Arabidopsis thaliana: one gene and its partners. The protein of the gene in region 3 interacts with the protein of the main gene of each other region in a pairwise test. Each region holds a gene or a part of one and is shown on either strand. Other genes may lie near its edges. The genes, in order: AT3G62260, AG and AtMYB103.

The links.
Region 1: the proteins of AtMYB103 (region 3) and AT3G62260 interact in a two-hybrid assay, tested with the Arabidopsis thaliana proteins (one large-scale study listed by BioGRID).
Region 2: the proteins of AtMYB103 (region 3) and AG interact in a two-hybrid assay, tested with the Arabidopsis thaliana proteins (one large-scale study listed by BioGRID).

Annotation. Positions count from the first base shown.
Region 1 is NC_003074.8:23,036,815-23,043,070, reverse strand, and holds AT3G62260 (Protein phosphatase 2C family protein), read left to right. Parts: upstream 1-2,500; 5' UTR 2,501-2,679; coding exon 2,680-2,847; exon of another isoform or gene 2,848-3,225; coding exon 3,226-3,414; intron 3,415-3,487; coding exon 3,488-3,723; intron 3,724-3,993; coding exon 3,994-4,555; 3' UTR 4,556-4,781; downstream 4,782-6,256. Other genes in the region: AT3G62270 (HCO3- transporter family), read left to right, coding at 1-191, 277-543; UBQ5 (ubiquitin 5), read right to left, coding at 5,460-5,933.
Region 2 is NC_003075.7:10,379,718-10,389,385, reverse strand, and holds AG (K-box region and MADS-box transcription factor family protein), read right to left. Parts: upstream 6,531-9,668; 5' UTR 5,706-6,530; intron 5,475-5,705; 5' UTR 5,470-5,474; coding exon of another isoform or gene 5,346-5,469; coding exon 5,240-5,345; intron 2,405-5,239; coding exon 2,315-2,404; intron 2,241-2,314; coding exon of another isoform or gene 2,233-2,240; coding exon 2,159-2,232; intron 2,057-2,158; coding exon 1,995-2,056; intron 1,908-1,994; coding exon 1,808-1,907; intron 1,722-1,807; coding exon 1,680-1,721; intron 1,596-1,679; coding exon 1,554-1,595; coding exon of another isoform or gene 1,521-1,553; exon of another isoform or gene 1,424-1,520; coding exon 1,227-1,423; intron 1,118-1,226; coding exon 1,114-1,117; 3' UTR 847-1,113; downstream 1-846. Other genes in the region: AT4G18970 (GDSL-like Lipase/Acylhydrolase superfamily protein), read left to right, coding at 1-77, 364-511. UniProt on the Arabidopsis thaliana protein: Probable transcription factor involved in the control of organ identity during the early development of flowers. Is required for normal development of stamens and carpels in the wild-type flower.
Region 3 is NC_003070.9:23,718,289-23,723,982, reverse strand, and holds AtMYB103 (myb domain protein 103), read left to right. Parts: upstream 1-2,208; 5' UTR 2,209-2,357; coding exon 2,358-2,490; intron 2,491-2,618; coding exon 2,619-2,748; intron 2,749-3,165; coding exon 3,166-4,015; 3' UTR 4,016-4,200; downstream 4,201-5,694. Other genes in the region: DAL1 (E3 Ubiquitin ligase family protein), read right to left, coding at 4,897-4,999, 5,075-5,183, 5,255-5,298, 5,418-5,528, 5,620-5,694.

The DNA of each region.
Region 1 (6,256 bases), on a different chromosome or scaffold from region 3:
CTTATCTCTTAACTTGCTTTGGTCTCACGTGGATACCAATCGCTGGAGTTATGTTCCCTCTACTGATCATGTTTCTGATACCCGTAAGGCAATATATCCTCCCAAGATTCTTCAAAAGTGCTCATCTTCAGGACTTAGACGCAGCAGAGTACGAAGAAGCACCCGCTTTACCGTTCCATCTCGCAGTACCGGTAAACGACTCCATTACTAATTCGAATCAAAATCCACTTTTTTAGCTTCTTGAAAAATCTTATTAACCGATTTTGGATTTTGCAGGAAGCTGAGATGGGATCAACTGCTTCGTATCCATGTGATTCTGAGATTCTTGATGAGTTTATTACAAGAAGCAGAGGAGAGTTTAGACACACATGTAGTCCTAAAGTTACTAGTTCGACTTCAACACCGGTTTATAATCGGAATCTCTCTCAAGTGTTTAGTCCTAGAGTGATTGATTTAAGAGGTGAGATGAGTCCAAGGCTCTCCGGGAAAGGCCAAAATAGTCCAAAGCCGAGTCCTTTAAACCCATCATCATCGTCGAAATGAGTTTACCGATGATGGAGGCTTGATAAAACCGGAGGAGATTATGTTTAAAATTAGTTAATTAATTGATGTTGTATCTTATGCATTCTTGAGTTTTTTTTTTCTTTTTACCTATGTTTAAAATTATGTTTGCATTTCTGTTCTTGATTTAGAATCATTGTAAAATCTCTCTAAATACCATGTCAAATGTCGGTAAAACATTATACTATGTAATAATAAAGCCATGAAACATCAGCTTATAATATAGACGTTCACGATAAAAGAAAGTTCGAGAGAAAAAATCTAACGGAAACATGAAAATAAAGAACAACAAGAAAAGTTAGTGGCTTTTGCCTTTTGGTTATGTGGTTGTCTTAAACTGTGTTTGTTGCGTCTCGATTTTTATTGTCGGATCAGAGATTAGATTAAGACATTCTCATTGACCATTTTTCCACGCGTAGGTACAGTAACTTAACCTGATTAAAACCATTCTAGTTTGACTAATATAATGTTTTAAAGATCCTTCGCAGAATTTAAATACAAAAAAGGGCTAAAAGTTGCACCTTTTTCTTATTAATATTATAGTCGAAATCTTAAGGCCAACTATTCCCTTAAAATCCAACAAGGAAGAAAACCTTACTGAATCCAATGGGCTTAATACTTTCAGACAGTTTAAAGATTTATGGCTTTCCTCGAAATTATGATCCATTAAATGCGTGTCTCCTCATTGATGATCATCAGCAAATCGTGTGTCATATTATATTAACCCTAATCATAATATATTAATACTATAACACCAGCAACATTATGCTGAGTCATACATATATATGCTAATAAGTACTAGTAGTTGTTAATTTTTATTGGTAAGATACCATAACACTAGTTTTATATTAGACTTTACACGAACAAGTTTCAAAATTTTAGCAACGCATTAGATCTTGAGCATCTTGGTTTCGTCTAAAGAAACATTATTTAGTTGAATGTCTTACATAGTAAGACAAATATTTTTGGGTAATATATAAAAAATGTGATAATTTTTAACTTTTAAATTAGTATTTAGGTTAAATTAGATCATACATTCTTAATATGATAACAAAGTGTATTACCGCCTTAATAGACAGTTTTTTTATAAAGAATGGTTTTGCACCTACTCTATACAAATAACATGTCTTATTATATTTTCGAAATGTTAAACTTACTCATATTGCTTAGGACAAAATTTTTAAGTAATAAATAAAACGTGTGGTAATTCTTAAATTTGGATTACTATGTCAGTTTAGATATTTTAATTAATTTTTCCAATAGTCAAATTGAGAAGGAAAAAACAACCACATAAAATAATAAATTAGGTAATGGCTTTGGATCATAGAGAGCACTTAACTTGTTGATCTACGCAATGTGTAAAGCTTGATACCACTAAACTATTATTCGTGACAAAAATTAAAAAGAAAGAAAAGACTGCTGACCTGGCATGACAGATAGTTAAACCTTGGGAGGCAAGTTCATCCTGGTGATTTTAACGGTCCAGATTCATCTAGATGCAACGCCATTGTGTGATTAAAGATCGTCACTTGCAGGTGTGTACACGGACAAACCTTTAGAGATTCTGGTCGAGAAAGTTCTGTACTTCCTAAAGTACCCCTAAACATTTAATCCTATTACAGAAATATCCCCGTTATTTCCAAAGAAAGTCCTCGGAAGTTGGTAAAAGTTTAAAAAGGAGTGGTTCAGAATCCGACGTCGTTCGAGGGTACGCGCGTCAAAGCTCGAATGACACGTGTCATAATTAGGGCTTAGTCTTAGCCGTGTGTAATCCACAAACTAAACAGAGATCATAATCTACATAAGCAACCGACTCGCCACAGATGATGGCCACGTGTCAACTGAATTTTACCGGTTACCCAGTCACCCATAATCGAGTCTTTTTCTTCTTATATATAATCAGAGAGAAAAAGCCCACGCGGCTCAGAAATTTCGTCCACGAGAGGAATAAATTCACACGCGAACTTCGATAGTTGTTAATTTTCGTTGAACACAAGTGACGAATTTGAGAGAGAAAAAAAAAGAAAATCAGAGATAAAGAATTTGAGTTTCTTGGAATTAAAGGATCGATTTTGTTGAAGTGAAATTGAAATTGATTGTGAAAAGAGAAAGAGACTGATGGTAGCAGAAGCAGAGGTTGTGTTTCAACAGAGTTTACCGGCGGTTCTGGAGATTGAGTTGTTTGACGGAGTTTCCTCCGCCGTTAAATCTCCCGTTTCTTCTCCGAAATTGGGTTTTACTCAGTCAACGGCGTCGGTTTCCGGAAGTTTAACGACTTCTCCTGTGGTAAGTCTTGTTTAAAGTTTACATTTTTATTTTCTGGGTGAGAATTTAAGAAGCTGGGTTCTGAAACGTAATTAGAAATTCGACTGAATTATTGGTTTTAGTCTATTAGGAATCATCAAATAAGATGACTTTATTGTAAATATTTTGCAAACATATCCTTGGATCTCTTAGGCTTAGAGGACCTCTAGTTCATGTGTGTTTGCGTGTCGTAGCAAATATAGATGCTTGTTGTCTATAACTTTGCCTTAATGAAGCAACTTTAAAGCTGTTGGAGAAGCCCTTTGTAGTTATTGTGTGTTGTTAACTGTCTTGTCTTCACTGCTTGTGTTTTATTTGTTGCTATACTCAATTGAGCATCCGTGTATACCTTTTATTTAGCAGGCTGATATCTTTCCAGAGGGTGATTGCGATCCTAGTGTCTTGGATTATATTCCGACCATCCGGTCTGGAAGCTTTGCTGATATTGGGCCAAAGAGAAACATGGAAGATGAACACATTCGCATAGACGATTTATCTTCTCAAGTTGGTTCCCTTTTTGAGTTGCCGAAGCCTAGTGCTTTCTATGCGGTATGTATCGTTGCTTCCTTATAATCTGATGCTCTTTTAAGTATACATTCTGACTTGACTTTCCTCTGCTTAGGTTTTTGACGGGCATGGAGGACCAGAAGCAGCAGCATACGTACGGGAAAATGCCATTAGGTTTTTCTTTGAAGATGAGCAGTTTCCACAGACATCGGAAGTGAGTAGTGTTTATGTGGAAGAAGTTGAGACTTCATTGAGAAATGCGTTTCTTCAAGCTGATCTAGCTTTGGCAGAGGATTGCAGTATCAGCGATTCTTGTGGTACCACCGCTCTGACTGCTCTTATTTGTGGAAGGTACGTGTTTCATTCAGTTTTGTTTAGTTCTCAATCTATCTTTAGAATCTTAAGAGATCTCTTGCGCATATACGAAGATGTGCACAAAGGTAAATAAATCTATTGTTAGGATCTTAAGAGAGCTCTTACATATACTAGATTGTAAGTATATAACCTGTGACATGAGCAATATTGGCTATGGTTTTATACTTTTGGTTACTCTTTCTGTTGTTGTCTTTGGGGTTTAACTGTGATTTTCTCATGGGATACTTATGTTCTTGTCTTTTGCAGACTCTTAATGGTTGCAAATGCCGGAGACTGCAGAGCGGTTCTATGCAGGAAAGGCAGAGCGATAGACATGTCTGAAGACCATAAACCGATTAATCTACTTGAGAGAAGAAGAGTGGAGGAATCCGGCGGTTTCATCACTAATGACGGTTACCTAAATGAAGTCCTAGCTGTAACCCGAGCTCTGGGCGACTGGGATTTAAAACTGCCACACGGCTCTCAATCTCCACTGATCTCGGAACCAGAAATCAAGCAGATAACTCTAACTGAAGACGATGAGTTTCTTGTGATTGGGTGCGATGGGATTTGGGATGTCTTGACGAGCCAAGAAGCGGTTAGCATTGTTAGGCGTGGCTTAAACCGGCACAACGATCCAACAAGATGTGCGCGAGAGCTAGTGATGGAGGCTCTGGGGCGGAACTCATTTGATAATTTAACTGCGGTGGTGGTATGTTTCATGACAATGGACAGAGGGGACAAGCCGGTGGTGCCATTGGAGAAGAGAAGGTGTTTTAGTCTTTCGCCTGAAGCTTTCTGTAGCTTGAGGAATCTGTTGGATGGCTGAAACTAGTGTGTTTTCTGGTGAAAACCGATGATTATATAATTGATGATGACGAATAATCTCTCCCACGGCTGCTTTTGTATTTAGAGATTTTACGCAGCTGAGAGAACTCTTTTGAGATATACTTGTGTATTAAGTGTGTTTGTTGTGTGCACAGTATGCGATTACAGTTTTGTGTACATACATACTGTTAGTTGTCTATGAATAACGAAAAAGAAAAGATTAAGTGATCGCCACTTTGTCAAGATAAAATTGCATCTTTATTTTTTTGATCAAGATAAAACTCCATTCAACACGACCATTTAAAACTAGGAATGTATCATCATTTCGAGACTAACTTTCGTTCTTCGCTTAATAAGATTTACAAATTCATGCAGCAGAAACTATTTTTGAACAACTTCAGTTTAAAGATAAATCAAACTTATTCAAAAATCATTAGCAACACGTTTAGAAACCAAAAAGACAAGGCTACTACTACGCATGAGAGCAGCCTTAAGAATCAAAGCGTAGAAACTAATCACTCATCACAAAACTAAAATCCTAGATCGAATATTATTCGAGAATTAATCACTTGACTAAAAAGAATACAAGACAAATCATAAATTCCGCTACGTTGCCATTGCAAATCATCTATAAATCTGCAAACAAATGATTTGAAATGCTCTCACAACTACGTTATAGGATGATTCAAGAAGTAGCAACCAATGAATATCAAAGTATAGAACGAACAACATAATGAATATCCATAAAATCCTAAAACCTTCCATAATTTATAATCCAGAACGAAAGATGTTCAACATAGAATCCATGATAACTCAAATTAAAGAGCTTACAAAATTCCCAAATAGAAATGCAGTTTTTAAAAGATAAGAGAGAAAGAGAAGGATCGATCTACCGCTACAACAGATCAAGCTTCAACTCCTTCTTTCTGGTAAACGTAGGTGAGTCCACACTTACCACAGTAATGGCGATCAAAATGACTCGCCATGAAAGTCCCAGCTCCACAGGTTGCGTTAGGGCACTCCTTCCTCAAACGCTGAACCTTTCCAGATCCATCGATTTTGTAAAACTGAAGAACAGCGAGCTTAACCTTCTTATGCTTGTGCTTGATCTTCTTCGGCTTGGTGTAAGTCTTCTTCTTCCTCTTCTTAGCACCACCACGGAGACGGAGGACGAGATGAAGCGTCGATTCCTTCTGGATGTTGTAGTCGGCGAGGGTACGGCCGTCTTCAAGCTGTTTCCCGGCGAAAATCAATCGCTGCTGGTCCGGTGGGATTCCTTCCTTGTCTTGGATCTTCGCCTTCACATTGTCGATGGTGTCGGATGATTCAACCTCAAGGGTTATGGTCTTCCCCGTTAGGGTTTTCACGAAGATCTGCATCTTTTGAGGCAACGGCTGCTGAAGATTATCAAAATGGGGATTTTGTAGGCGAAGGAGACCTCTAGGGTTTCTTAGCTCAATTACGTTACTACCCTTATTTTATTTGGGCTTAGTTTTGGGCTTTCACAGAGCAGTCTATTGGGCCATTAAGCTCACCAAAAGTTATAAAAAAAAGAAAATAAAAATGGAGATGCAGGGAATCGAACCCTGTGCCTCTCGCATGCAAAGCGAGCGCTCTACCATATGAGCTACATCCCCGAATGATTCTCAACACTTTTTTAACTAAATAGTATCAACGATTAATTTATTTATGTATTTGTTTG
Region 2 (9,668 bases), on a different chromosome or scaffold from region 3:
ATCGGTAGTCGATCTTTTCAGAGAGAATCTGCTTCTGATGCTCATCCTTATGATATCCAGCAGCTTGCTCGGCTCTAGTTCATGAAATTTCCTCCAAGCAAACACAGAGTGAAAAAGAGAGGGAGACAGATTTAATCTTTTTCTTATTTAAGTGTTTGATGATTGTTTCTTTTTGCTGCAGAAGAATTGTTTGTTTTGTTGAGTTTATGTATCATGGTTCTATATAATGACATGAAATTTCTGCTTTCTTATAGATGACTAAATTCATTTGGATCTCTGATTCTCTTATTAGTTATTACTATGTATCAATCTTTTAATTGTTCAAACACTTTTCTAGTAAATGGATATAAAAAGAAACTGAAGTTGGTTTAAATGGCGAATTCTGATAAGAGGAAGCTTGTGCATAAGAGTCAGGTTCTTGAACAATAACAACTATATCTTGTCCCTTGCAAAAAAAATTGTTGGACCGGGCCTGGATGGAAATGGATGTTGCGTTCCATACAAAATCTAGTAACCGGAGGCTAGGAAAATGAGCTTGATTATGACCATGATTTATTGAGAACAGGTATGGAGCCATCCGATAATGTTTGCTCTTGGTTTACGAAATGAAGCTAGGCAGAGATAAGCTATTGTATGTGCATTTAAAGAAAATATGGTTAATACTCTTGTATGTGTTTTCACCGAGCAAGACGCGAGATATTGAGACCGGGTGGTGAATGTATTCCTGGTAGGCAGCTACAAAATGAACGAATGTTTCGACATTTTGCAACTGTACCACATGGGGAGAAGGAGGAGGAGGATGGAACTCAGCACATGAATATATATCATTATCATATTGAGACTTTTCTATAATAAAATCATTAATAGAGCAGGAATTGGTAATTAAATACAACAATTGAACTAATAGTACACTTATACACATAGATGTTTTGAAGCAAATTAAGCACATTAATGACATGTCTTTAAGATATTAATTTCACATCAACATAAGCATAAAATTCACTGATACAACATTCATGGGATAAATATATATATAACATGCATTAGCTTTATATTGCTTGCTCAACCCAATTCTGGTTTTTATTCACTCCCGGCCATTTCCTTCAGCCTATATTACCTACAAAACAGCATAAAAGACCAAATCCATGCTGTCAAGTTTTACAAAATGGACCGATTAATAATATAAGACTAGAATGATTGATCGGAGCAAGATTTTGTGTCCTTACACTAACTGGAGAGCGGTTTGGTCTTGGCGACCCGCGGATGAGTAATGGTGATTGTTAGGTTGCAATGCCGCGACTTGGAAATAATTCCGTGAATCAAACGGTTGAGATTGCGTTTGAGGTGGTGGCATAAGCTGCTCGTAGTTAGATCCTCCTGGCATTAGACTTATACTCGGATTGTTCCTCTCATTTTCAGCTATCTACATTACACAAATATATGTCATAAACTATTTATCTACAAGTACTTTCACCATTTTAATCGTTTTCATATAATATTTATTGAAACAATAGGGAAAATTATAGAAATTGATATATAATGTGTACTTTTACCTTTGCACGAAGAATCTGGTTATCGTTATGCAAATCAACTTCCTGCTTAATCGGTGCAATGCAAATGAGCAAAATTATTATAAGAACATATTAAGAATAGAAATTAAGTTAAGATTTATTTCTTACTCTTTTCTGCATGTAGTCGATTTCAGAAAATAAGAGCTCATTCTGTAAAATTAAACAAAAATTAGCAACAAGGCATATAGATTTAATTTGATATTATATTGAAGCATTTATAAAAAAAATAGAATTACCTTCTTGGATCGGATTCGGGTAATACTTCTCTCTAATCTGCCTTCCAAGTTCCTGAGCTCTTTGGGAGACATTGACCCTATCGTCTCACCCATCAATTGCCTAATTGATTTATCAACATATGTTAATATATCAAATAGTTAATAACAACCAAGTAATCAAATATTTCAAGTCAGTTAGATAATTAACCTGTTGGAGTTTTGTATGCTGATTATTTGTTGACGCAATTTGGCTGATTCTTGTTGATAATACTACAACAACAACAAAAAAAAAAAGAGTAAAAGAATGAACAATGTTGTCATGTCATCATATATTAATTAAAATCATTCGTGTAATATTAAGTTACCACTTACCTGTGCATTAATTTCTGCCACCGATCCGGTGTTAGAATTGTCCGATATTGCCTTCTTGTACCTCTCAATAGTCCCTTTTACACTGCAATAATTTTTTTAAAGGAATTAATAAGTTAATTAGACCTATTAACTACCTATTTTCTAAACTTAATCTACGCTTAAATCTGCATTTTGATAAGTAATAAAAAATAAAATTGATAGGGTCAAATCGACCACTTGCACAGTTAAGTGATTCTAATACGAAACCTTAAAAGCAAACATCGGTTCTTTTGAGTCAGAAGAAATGCAACTTAATGTGACACATGATGTGAAGAAAAAACAAAAGTAATATAAGAAAAGGGAACAATTAAATAGTTAATAAAATATTTCCTTAAAGTTGTAACAAATAAAGAATCATTTTATGAAACAATATGAACCCTAAATAAATTAAAATTCCTCTGAAACCTTAAATTTATCGAGCTAGTGATTGGCTGCCAACTGCCATGCTGGCAAAATTAGAGTGACATGATTGGTCTGAACATGTCTAGGGTTTCAGACATGTGACATGTGTCAACAACCCATTAACACATTGGGTATAAATCCAATAGACATTTGATAGTATTAAAATTGTAACCATTGGATTAAATTTAAACGTGATGGATGTAACTAAATGACTTGTCCGAGTAACATCACAACGTTCCATACTTTCCTTATTTGGAATATAATTAAATTTACCATTTATTCTTTTTTCTTGAGTTTCCTGTATATGTACTTGTACATAGATATATATACACAAATACGTATTACAATGACATATTATAGACTTTGATGTCTGAACTCTCAACCTTCTCGATGGAGAGATCATGACCGTAGATTTTTTTGGATCGTAGAAGGCAGACCAAACTCTTAAACTATTGGATCCGTACTAAAAATCTCACTTTCCTCTCAGTACCCATAATGAGAGAGAAAATGATAAAAATCCCTAACATTATTCTCTCTCTAGAAAAAAAAAAGATACTTCAAAAAGAAAGAGAAATTGCATAAATCTATCTACACCAAAGATGTTGAAGCAATTCCAATGCTATACTTCTATGCCAAATCTATTTATTCAGTGATCATTAATCTTTTTACTTCCAAGAAATATGAACAATTTAGTATCCTTATAATTTTTGTCTCTATATATGTAATATGAACATTGGGTATTGACCAAATGAGAAATCTAATATTAAATGGTCAAAAGTAGTAATATGATGACATTTTTGAATTTATAAATAGGTTACAAATTAATTCATTATGACATAAAACCTTCTTGTCAGAAGTCAAGAACTGAAACTAACAAAACTTTATAATAAATTAGTAAAAATACAAGTGAAAAATAAAAAGAAATAATATCTGAGTGATGACGTGATCAAAGATTCTTTAACAAAGACAACAAATCTTACAGACCCAAAACCTAATCTTGCGCTCAATTCCAACCTCTGAAAAAACCTCAAAAATCTTATAAAAGAAAATAAATAAAGAAACGAAACTCTGATTTCGTAGAGTACCCATCGGATATATAAAAAGAAATTAGTAGGTAAATGAAGACTAATTTTGATTGACTGATTTAATTTGAAGTCGTTGTTAGCTTTTCTTGTTTTGGACATGAGAATTATATATTTCAGGACATGAGAGTTGACAACTGTAAACGATTAAGAAAATTGATCTTTTAATTTTCAAACACCATTTAATCTTGACATGTTTTATGTTTTGGTGGAGAAGAAAGTAATCACGTGGGACTCTCTACTAATAAGTATTTGGAAATTGCGTGTCGAATTAGAGATTACTAGTTTGAGTAATGTAGTTCGAAATGAGATTAGTTATTTTTAATTTTAAAAAGAGTAATTTTAAGGAATAACAAAAAAGAGTCCCCATAAGCTAATTTGTCTTAATTACCTCCTTGTTTCATTGACTATTTGAAATCTTGAAAATTCAGTTGAAATTTCAAATCTATGTTTCTTTTGACCACTTCTAAACTAATCTTAGCTCATATATAATTTTCCAAAACTACAAAAATAACACTAACATTTAACATTCTCAAGAGAAAACAAAAACAAAAACTTAGATAACCATCTAAATTGTCCTACATGTACGTATAAGTTCCATTATTTTCTATCACTCATATAAGTTAAAATTTCATGAAAACTCAAAAATCTAGCTAGTTTCACCTTATTCACTCTCACTTACCATCACATGTGTTTGTATCAAATATATGATATGATATAATTCATGAGAGAGAAAGAGAGCTAGAGATAAGAAAGGAAAGTAAGAGAAAGAAGAGAAGAAAAAGAGAGACACAGACATTAACAACAATGGAGGATGGATGATCACAAAACAGAAGATATGACCTCATAGTCCTTCCTTACTCTCTCCCCAATTTGTTTCCCAAAACTTACTTTTATAGTCATAAAAATCAAGTTTTTACCTATTACAACACCAGATCTATAAATATATCTAAATCTTCAAGTACTTGTTAGTAAGGAAAATAGAAAGATATAAGATTTTATTATTATTATAATAACAGAAATGAGTGAAGAAAGAACACCCAACAAAGTGAATCTTAGTTCTACAAAACTGAATCTAAAACTCCACATTAGAAAAAACCCTGATGGTTTCTTATTTCTTTTCATTTATTATCTAACTCTCACTCAGATCTCCTTTAACTTTGTACCATTTCCCTCACTTCATATATCTATATATAACAAATTCTCTCTTTTTATTTAAGTCTTAAGGGAAAATTAATATACACATGAAGAACAAGAAATTAGATCTACAAAATTGTTACAAAAACCCCCGAAGTAAATAAAATAAACATATCAAACAAATATTCCCACTAATGTTAGTGTGTTTATATATATATGTGTGTGGAATATGAAGGAAAAAAGTGAAAAATAATCCTACCCATAAGAGCATTCAAGAAGAAGAGAATCAAATCTAGCTTAGAAGATCGAAAACCCTCGTAAAAGATTTATGCTTTAACATAAACATAAAACCCTAAATCGGACTTTAAAAATAATTTAATTATTAATAAAGTAAGAACAGAGCACGAGAAGAAGAAGAAACCTGTTGTTAGAGTACTCATAGAGACGACCACGGCTAGAGAAGACGATGAGTGCGACTTCAGCATCACAAAGAACAGAGAGCTCGTAAGCTTTCTTGAGCAAACCATTTCTACGTTTGCAAAAAGTGACTTGACGATTCGTTGTGTTCTCGATCCGTTTGATTTCGATCTTTCCTCTCCCAGATTTCCTCAAGGGAGAGGAATCTCCTCCTAGCTCCGATTGGTACGCCGTGATTGCTGCTCCAAAGCCAAAAACGTTTAGGGCAAAATTTGATTAGTACAGAATTACAAGAATCCAACAAAAAACCAATCAAGATTTTCTTGAAAAGACTCAAGATTCTTCATGTTTTCTATTCTTTTGAATTATGGTTGAGATTAAAGTTAAACTATAAAGATTTAATTTAATTCTGTTGCCGACACACATCTTATAGAAGGAATTATAAAGTTGAAGAACTTTATTGATCTTACATTCATATTCTCCTAACAAGAGTTAATCAAGAAAGGATGGTAATACACAAGTTATAAACTAAGAACAAAATTGTTTTGTAACCATAGGGATAATTTAAATCTAGAGTGTGAAAAAGAAAAGTTTTAAAGAGTTAAAGAAGATCAGAGAATTTGTGAATCTTGTTTCTCTCTAAATAACATAAAAAGAATCAAATCAAAACGGGAAAAAAGGAAACTAAAGAAGAACAAAAATTTGGTTTAAGGACCAAAAGAAGTGAAGCAAAGTAATATTATGAAGAAGATAATGTTTGAAAGGATTGGGGAACAACAAAATACTAGCCTGACCTGTTGGGGGGAGAAGAACAAAGGGGAAAGTTTTATTTTTCTTGGGAAAATGATTTTCTGGAAAGTATGAGATTTGGAGAAGTTGCAGAAAATGGAAGGTAAGGTTGTGCTGGTGAAGAGATGGGTATATACATTTATAAAGGAATATTTTTTTTCTTTTTAATTTTCTCTACTATTTATCACCATTTTTCCCCACTTTTTACATCCATATAGTGTCTTGTCAATTTGTGTTTGATTACTGGTTTTCTTACTCACTAAAGCATAGTTTTATGAATGGAATCTATGAGATAAGTATGTGTTTCTTCTTTATTAGATAGAGTTAATATACATGTATTTTCTGAAAAGTAATTCTATTTAAACTGGTTTTGGAACATACACATGTTAGATAATTATGTGGTGAAAGTTGATTTTGAGAATTGACAAAAGTTTTGTACTTGGTTGATAGTTATATATGAGGGAAGTATAATTAATTAAACTGGTGTTTCTTTTCAGTACATTTAGACATATGATAGGTTAAAATAAAAGATTGACATAGAGCAATCTAAAGGTTCACAAAGCATGAGTACATCAGCTTTTGAAATCACATGAAAAATATTATTAATAAATAGTGTTAATTACCATAAATAACACCCACCATACATCCGGACTTTTCATAAATATAATACTTATTAAGGACACCCCCAAATTGAGAAATTGTAGAAATGAATAAATAGTTTTTGGAAATGAAGAAAAAAAGAGAGAGTTATTGGTGGGTAGTTCTTGTGTGGTCTTTCACAAAGGTCTAAATGAAAAGAGGGTTCAAGTTGGGCAATCACTCATGAGATGCAGACTCTACTTACCATTACTTGTCTTTGCTTTTCATGTGAAAGTTTTTGAGGCACTAAAATCTTTGGGTAAATCTGATCAGTACATTTTTTTGTTACAACAAATATCGATCTTCTTCTTTGTTTCTAGTTTTTACTAAATCTTGATCTTTTTAAAGAGGAAAAAATTTCAGCTCTATTCCCTTTTCTTTTGTGAATTGTTTTAAAGATTTAAGTGACATTCTGCAGGAAAATTTGTTTCACTAATTAAGGAAGTTATTTATAAACAAATATATGGTGTTGTATATTTGATACCATTTTACATTATTTTGCCAGAATAAATATAAGAAAATGGATTCTGGATACTGAAAATATTAAAGAATAGAATTTCAAAAAATTTATGATAATATTGTAATTACATGATGAGGTGTAATTTATTCCGTATATAGTAACTGATGGTGTACAAATATAAAGTAACATATAAAAGAAAACTGTGTAATTAGATATATGGCTAAACTGATTATTAGTAGTAAGAACCAATATACTTATCTATTTAATGGTGTGGCAAATATAGAATCGAATGATGTAAAAAGAAGGAGAAAATTACTCAGATAGTGAAGAAAATTAGCATACTATTTATGTTAGTGAGATTTGAAGTTGATGATGTTTACTTGTTGTGATATTGACATATAAAAAAAATGATAAATTAATAAGATAAATAGGGTTTTAGGGTTTATAGGGGAAATAGGGAGATGAAGCGTACTTTTAAGGGGCTGGACAAGACGTAGGGCTTAATTTGGAAAGTTATTTAAGTGTAATGCTTCTGACTCAATTAGAAGGTAACCAGACTTTTCTCTCTTCTCCAACTACTTTAATCTCTCTCTCTTTTTTTACATTTTCTTTTTGACTTTTGTCGCCCTCTTCAAGATCACAGCTCTCCATATTGTTTGTGAAACTACTATATGAATATACATAGGTGACTACTTAATAAATTTTGTTGAAAAGTATCTAACTGTTAAAATAGTTCTCCTAATTGGCTAAATGGATTAAAATTTAACCCAAAATATGGATTAATAATCTTTCTTGTTTTATTTGATAAAGATCTTTGTAGCTCGTATGTGGAAGAAAAAAATTGGGTAGATATTTTCTAACATTTTGTTAAATAAGTTATTTTTAAAAAATGTTGAATAATTGAGGAGCACAATGTATAAATGGAGTAAGGTTATGCCAAAAGAAGAGGGAGAGTAGCATGTGATGTGTAGTCTTTGATCTCCATCTTTATGAACCCATTTAAGGTAATTTGATAGAGATAAGAGAAACCTATATGTATATACAGTCCATATTCATATTTATTTCCCTATAACTATATATACATCCACTTGCAATGTGCTTTCTTTTCTTTTGTACTTTTTCTTTCTTTCTTGCAATTAGAAAAAATAGTATAGCTTAACTGCATGTAATTTACCTTCTCTAGTAGTATATTTAATTAGCAAGAGTTAAAGTAAGTTTAGTAAGAATTACTGAATTGAATACTAGTAAAATTTACAAATTAGTACATAATTAGATTTCCTTTACGTCACATGTATGCTTGTATGTATGGAAATTGATTAGGTCATTTATAAAAGAAACAACTCAATTGCTTTGGGTCAAGCTTTCATGGTCGAAGTGGGTTTTAAAAACCATAAAATCTTCTCGTATCTTACATGATGGACCACAATCGAAGGTTGCTTTCTACCATATTTTGATCACTTTTGATTTGAGTTTTTATTAAAACAAAAATATGTGACTCGCTGAATTATTTACCCGATTTAAAATACTGTTTTTCAATGGTGTTTTATCTTAGGAATAACAATATCACACATCGGAAGTTAGACAAAGATCCTAATAATATAGAAGATATATGGATTGATCCACTGCAAATTGGTTTTGAGGACAGATTAATATTTTATCCAACTAGTCTAAACGTATCATCAGAAAAAATGTATCGATCAATTTGGTAAAGGCTCGATTTTGACCAAAAAACAATATGCATAATTCTTGTTTAGTGTATCTTAATGTATTTTTTTAATGTCATCTACTACAAGAAAACAATACGAACTCCAACAATTTTTCTTACGAAATTTTGGTGTAAAATCTATGAAATTTTCATCAAATGTTGTTTTGAAGGTTTTAATTTAATAGAAAAACCGTTACTCGTGTACTAAGTTCACAAAGACATAGAATGTGTACTAGATAAGTTCCCACGTAATAATGATTATAAATATTAAATTATATATGATCAATAAAAGCAATAAATATTTAAAACATTAATTTGACGTCGAATCATACATTTTGTGTTGGAGAAGGGATCACTTAAATGACACTACCTAATCAAATTTAATGCATATTCTTTTGTTCCTTAATTTTTCTTCCTCGTCATTAAAAAAAATGGATACATTATATTACCTAGAATAAAATCAGTTCACAGAAAACAAAAGAATACTCTCTCTGTTTTGAAATTATATATTCTGTAACATTCCATCCCAAAATTAGTATGACGTGATTAGTAGATCAACAGACCACAAACCATTTGAAAATTTTCAAATATTTTGAAAATTTTCCAAACTGCTAGAAATAGATTCTGCGTACTTTTATAAATTCCGTAAAAATATGGAATTGGCATTCAAACTTAGATACTATATATATAGCATTTTGTGGGAATTTAAGATTTGTTTTCGTCAGGTTCCAATATAATTTAAAGATATTTTTGTTTGGTTTTGGACCGAATTAAGACTAATTAGAAAGAAAAAAAAAAAGAGAAATCAGTGCTGCTTTTGGCTTGATTGTGATTGTGCCA
Region 3 (5,694 bases):
GTTAAGATTTATATCTTAACCAAGATATTTTCTTAAGTTTAAGAAGTGGACAGGTGTTGTGTATTTATTGGGTACACAAATAAACAAAAGTAAGGAAAAAAAAACCATTGGAACATAAATAATTTAAATTTTTTCCCTTAAGAACTTTTTGCTTCTTAACCAATGGAGCATAAATAAATTAAGATATTCTCTAACTTATCTTAACTTTGAAAAAGCAAAATTTTAATTTTAAAAAAGGTTAAGATCCAAGATTAAAAGCTTTAACATCTTAACCATTGGGGATGCTCTAAAGGACCATGCATCCAGTATCTTATGTGTTGGAACAGGTGTATCCGTATATGTATGTAACTATGTATTATGTATCGTAATTTGTACGTAAGCTTGGTGCCCTGGTCTACAGTTCCCTAGTTAAGATTCTATTTTGACAACAAAATTGATGATTCCAATCATCCATATTTGTTATAGGGAGAAATTGAGCATGCTATATACGGTGATATATATGATATTTATTTAATATATTGAATAACAAACACAGAACTAGTGTTATAGGTGCAGGTATGTAAATATAATGTGATAAACATTTTTTATATAGATTGGAAAGAATACGAGATTGTTGTTGCTCTGTTAGAACGAACAAACAGAACTAGTGTTATAGGTGCAGGTAAGGTAAATATAATGTGATAAACATTTTTTATATAGATTGGAACAAATAAACATTTTTCTGTTAGAACGAACAAAGGCCTGTCAAAAAGAACAAACCTGATGTGACATATTACATATATGATTATAATTGATTATTGTATATATAGTATTGCATGACTATCTTTACAAGATTTCAATACGAAAATAAATTAAAAGGAGAAAATTTATAAACGAAGCGATTTCATTCTCGGTAAGGTTTTCCGATATGTCTCCTAACTAAATCAAAGCCTTGTAATTGAAACTTGTAATGATTGTTATTCTATATATCTTTGAAGAAAGCTTCGGTATTGGACGTACTTAATATAATTGGATTTTATTTAAATTACAAAAATCACTGTATAATTCGGCTACATGACTTAATCAATTATTTCACGTTGAAAACAATACTATATCAACTTCAAATACACTCCTTGTGTATGGATTCCACAAGTTCTTTTCTATCTATAGAAATATAGAATCCACAAGTTCTATCTACTTTTATTAGAATTTTTTATTGTTCGTTGTTGTTAACATAATTATAAGCAATAAATTCAAAAAAAAAAAAATCTAAAAGACACAAAATTTCCATCTTTGATAGGGCTTCGGAATCATTAATTACTTTTTACAAACAAAAAAGAAGAAGATAGGGCTTCGGAAATTATTAGAAAGATGGAAGGATATTGTATTAAATTTGGCTTCATATTTTCCTTTGGTTTGCGGCCATCAAGTACTAGTACTACTCAGTACCCACAGGCCACAGGAAAAAAAGTAGTACTGCTTTATTAAGTGTGTTACGATAAATGGAAAGCGTTTTAGTATGTGATTACAAATTGTTGTATGTGATCATTAATTAGTTATTGGTCCGACTTCTAAGTTTAAATATTTTCAGAATTCAGTTAGTTTAATTATACATGTTAGACGAAATGACTCTTTTTGAGCCAATATATAATGTATCTGAATTTTTCATTTTGAAAAATCTTTTTATAAAATAATAGGTCAACCTCGAATTATTATAATAAAATAAATAATTTGCGTTACTATGAAAATTAATTTACTGAATACAGTATATAGAGAGAGATAGAAATAGAGGAAAACAGTGGATAATACATGATTAGTTGATACTCATGTGCAGCGAGTCTATATATATTATATACTCATGATTAGTTGATACATATGTGACGATTAGTTCTACGAATCAATCTCTAGTTTTCGTCTTAAAATCATTTGGTTTTATAGAATATAAGAAACAAAGAAAACAGGAACTTTCGCGGGAGACAGAAGGGTACGTGAAGAGAAAAACACATAAAAGTGATAAGGGCTTAACGTAATAATACTACAACAAAACCTCTCTACGTACAACGAGTAATAACACATGAAAATAGAAAGTCGATGAGACATCGTTTTAAGGTTAGATCGATGAAGAAATATCTCAGGCCCCACCCCTGGGACCCGACCCGACCCGACCCGACCCGACCTTTGTCTCCTCTCCTTTTAAAAACTCTCCATTGCTTCTTTGTCTTCTCTCTTCTATAACATAACTCAAGAAATTAAAGAAGATAGATAGAGAGAGAGAGAGAGAGTAAAAACCTAAAGGGTGATATACTTATATAAAAATTAATTTAAGATTGTGATTAAGTGGTTCACTATATTTAAGTTACTTTGAGGAGCTACTAATCATGGGTCATCACTCATGCTGCAACCAGCAAAAGGTGAAGAGAGGGCTTTGGTCACCGGAAGAAGATGAGAAGCTTATTAGATATATCACAACTCATGGCTATGGATGTTGGAGTGAAGTCCCTGAAAAAGCAGGTGATCTTACTTGTATATTAGTTTTCAAGTAACATATTTTTTTCTCTAACCAATTATAACGATCTTGCGCTAATTAACATATATAGTTAATGTAACTAATTTTAAAATGCATGTTTGATCAAATTTAGGGCTTCAAAGATGTGGAAAAAGTTGTAGATTGCGATGGATAAACTATCTTCGACCTGATATCAGGAGAGGAAGGTTCTCTCCAGAAGAAGAGAAATTGATCATAAGCCTTCATGGAGTTGTGGGAAACAGGTCTCCATTTTTACTAACTCGACTTAAATTTTTATATATTATCAATTCAAGATAGTGTATTATTATAGACCGCTACAGGAAGTCTTATAAGATTTTCAATACTGATACCATTTTCAATAATAAGTTTGTTGGGTTGGGATACATACATAGTACATTTTATACTTATATTCAGTTTATCATGTTATATTTTAAATTTAAACAATTATATGTTTAGTTTGGCCACGGTTTGAAGCAACGACTAGCCTACTGTCGATGACCAAAGAATCTTTAACGTGTAGTTTCATTCATCTAGCTCGTTTACTTTTGTCTACTTGGTCGAGCTATTAAGTAGTACACTTTAAGTTACTTCATTGAACATTCTCAAAATGTGATACATACATATTTTCTTATTAAACTTATGTTTTTTGTTTTTTTCAGGTGGGCTCATATAGCTAGTCATTTACCGGGAAGAACAGATAACGAGATTAAAAACTATTGGAATTCATGGATTAAGAAAAAGATACGAAAACCGCACCATCATTACAGTCGTCATCAACCGTCAGTAACTACTGTGACATTGAATGCGGACACTACATCGATTGCCACTACCATCGAGGCCTCTACCACCACAACATCGACTATCGATAACTTACATTTTGACGGTTTCACTGATTCTCCTAACCAATTAAATTTCACCAATGATCAAGAAACTAATATAAAGATTCAAGAAACTTTTTTCTCCCATAAACCTCCTCTCTTCATGGTAGACACAACACTTCCTATCCTAGAAGGAATGTTCTCTGAAAACATCATCACAAACAATAACAAGAACAATGATCATGATGACACGCAAAGAGGAGGAAGAGAAAATGTTTGTGAACAAGCATTTCTAACAACTAACACGGAAGAATGGGATATGAATCTTCGTCAGCAAGAGCCGTTTCAAGTTCCTACACTGGCGTCACATGTGTTCAACAACTCTTCCAATTCAAATATTGACACGGTTATAAGTTATAATCTACCGGCGCTAATAGAGGGAAATGTCGATAACATCGTCCATAATGAAAACAGCAATGTCCAAGATGGAGAAATGGCGTCCACATTCGAATGTTTAAAGAGGCAAGAACTAAGCTATGATCAATGGGACGATTCACAACAATGCTCTAACTTTTTCTTTTGGGACAACCTTAATATAAACGTGGAAGGTTCATCTCTTGTTGGAAACCAAGACCCATCAATGAATTTGGGATCATCTGCCTTATCTTCTTCTTTCCCTTCTTCGTTTTAAATTAATGTTTAAATCACAGCAAATAAACTCCGCTAATTTGTTTATAAGTTTGTTTATTCACCTTTTTTCTCTTAGAGTTTGTAACGGGATTTTCACTTTATTATGTAATGAGTGTTCTAAATTGTTGATAAAGAGATGGTGTGAATGTATGTATATAAAACTCAAGGTCTTGTCCTTAATTTGATGTATGAAAAGGACAAAAAAACACTGCTTCCATGTTGCAAGGCAATACGGTAACGTAGTGCATTCACTAAGTTCGTTAACGTTGTCGTATCGTAACACAAACGTAGAGATTTGGCTAGCTACCCACGTACAGGCCATGGCAAAACTATTTTGAAAATTACTATAGCATTTTGGTTTGTAGAAAAGAGCATAAAGATATGATTAATCTAGTTGCAAAATGAGGTAGTGAATGAACAATACTTGGGAATAACAAAGTATTGTAATTAATCCACTTATATTCTTAATGATACAATCAAAGTATATCTGCAACAAAGTCAAAATTTTCAGTTTTCAAGGGAATAACAAAGTCAAATTAAGGATTTCAAGATACTATATGCATGTTTTAGACTCCTTTAAAATAGGTAGGATTATCTTTGTAGCGCGCTTTTGGTTTAGTGAATCTGAAGATCAAAATGTTGATATCTATTCGCTGAATCGAGCAAACACCTCATGGCATTGGCAACAACACGAATAAGTAAACACGAATGTACTGTTTTGCAAATCGAGTAAACACCTTATGTTTCTATATAATTCAAAATGTTTTGTTGTCGAAATCAAACCAAAGGGAATATCGAACGCTAAACTGTGTAATGTTTTGATTTTGCGGTATTTACAGACAAGACTCAAGTAGAGAATGTTTCTGAGGCCTGAGTTGTTGTTCAGTGACGATATGTCTTAACCGCCAGATCTATTCGTCTCCGACAAAGTGGACAGCTGGTCAAGTGGGAGGAGCATGCGGTGCAGCAGCACATATGACCACACCTGCGAGTACCAACCACAAGCATTTTAGCAAGTTGCAAATGCAGAATCAACCAAAAATGGCGGAAGAATGCTTACGGGACAAACACAGCGTTGTACTCCTGCTCTAGGCATATCACACAGAGATCAGGAACAGCGTCTTCTTTCTTGGTAGAATCTGAAATGCTCTCACGTGTCCCGTTTGAACCTGGTCAGAAGAGATTGTAGTCAGAGCCAGTGCAACCTATATGTAGAATAAAGAGATTCACCAATGGATACCTTCACTCTCTAGCTCAGCTCTCTTTGCTGCTGCGTCAAGCACTCTGCAAAAACAGCTGACTACTTAATTTTGTGTGTACATAGTTTCGAGAGAAACAAGCCGATCTAGTACTCATGCTTGAGAACGGTTATTCACTTTTAGACAGACAAATCTGTGACATACCTTTTTTGTAACTGTCTCCGCCGTCTTCTCTCTAGAACAGAGTCAATGACATGCTTCGTAATTAGGAACACACCAAGAACAGTAAAACCCATGGAGGCATATTTGTACAACCTGTAAATTATACTCTTCTCAATCAGTTTGGCTCATTGCCGTTTTTCTACAAGAGTATAGGAGAAGAACCGAGAGAGGAGAGAGACACGACCTTGACCATTTTCCCAAATTAGAAATGAGCTGATCGAGTGATTTAGAAGAGACGTAGAAAGGGCCCCTGTCAGGT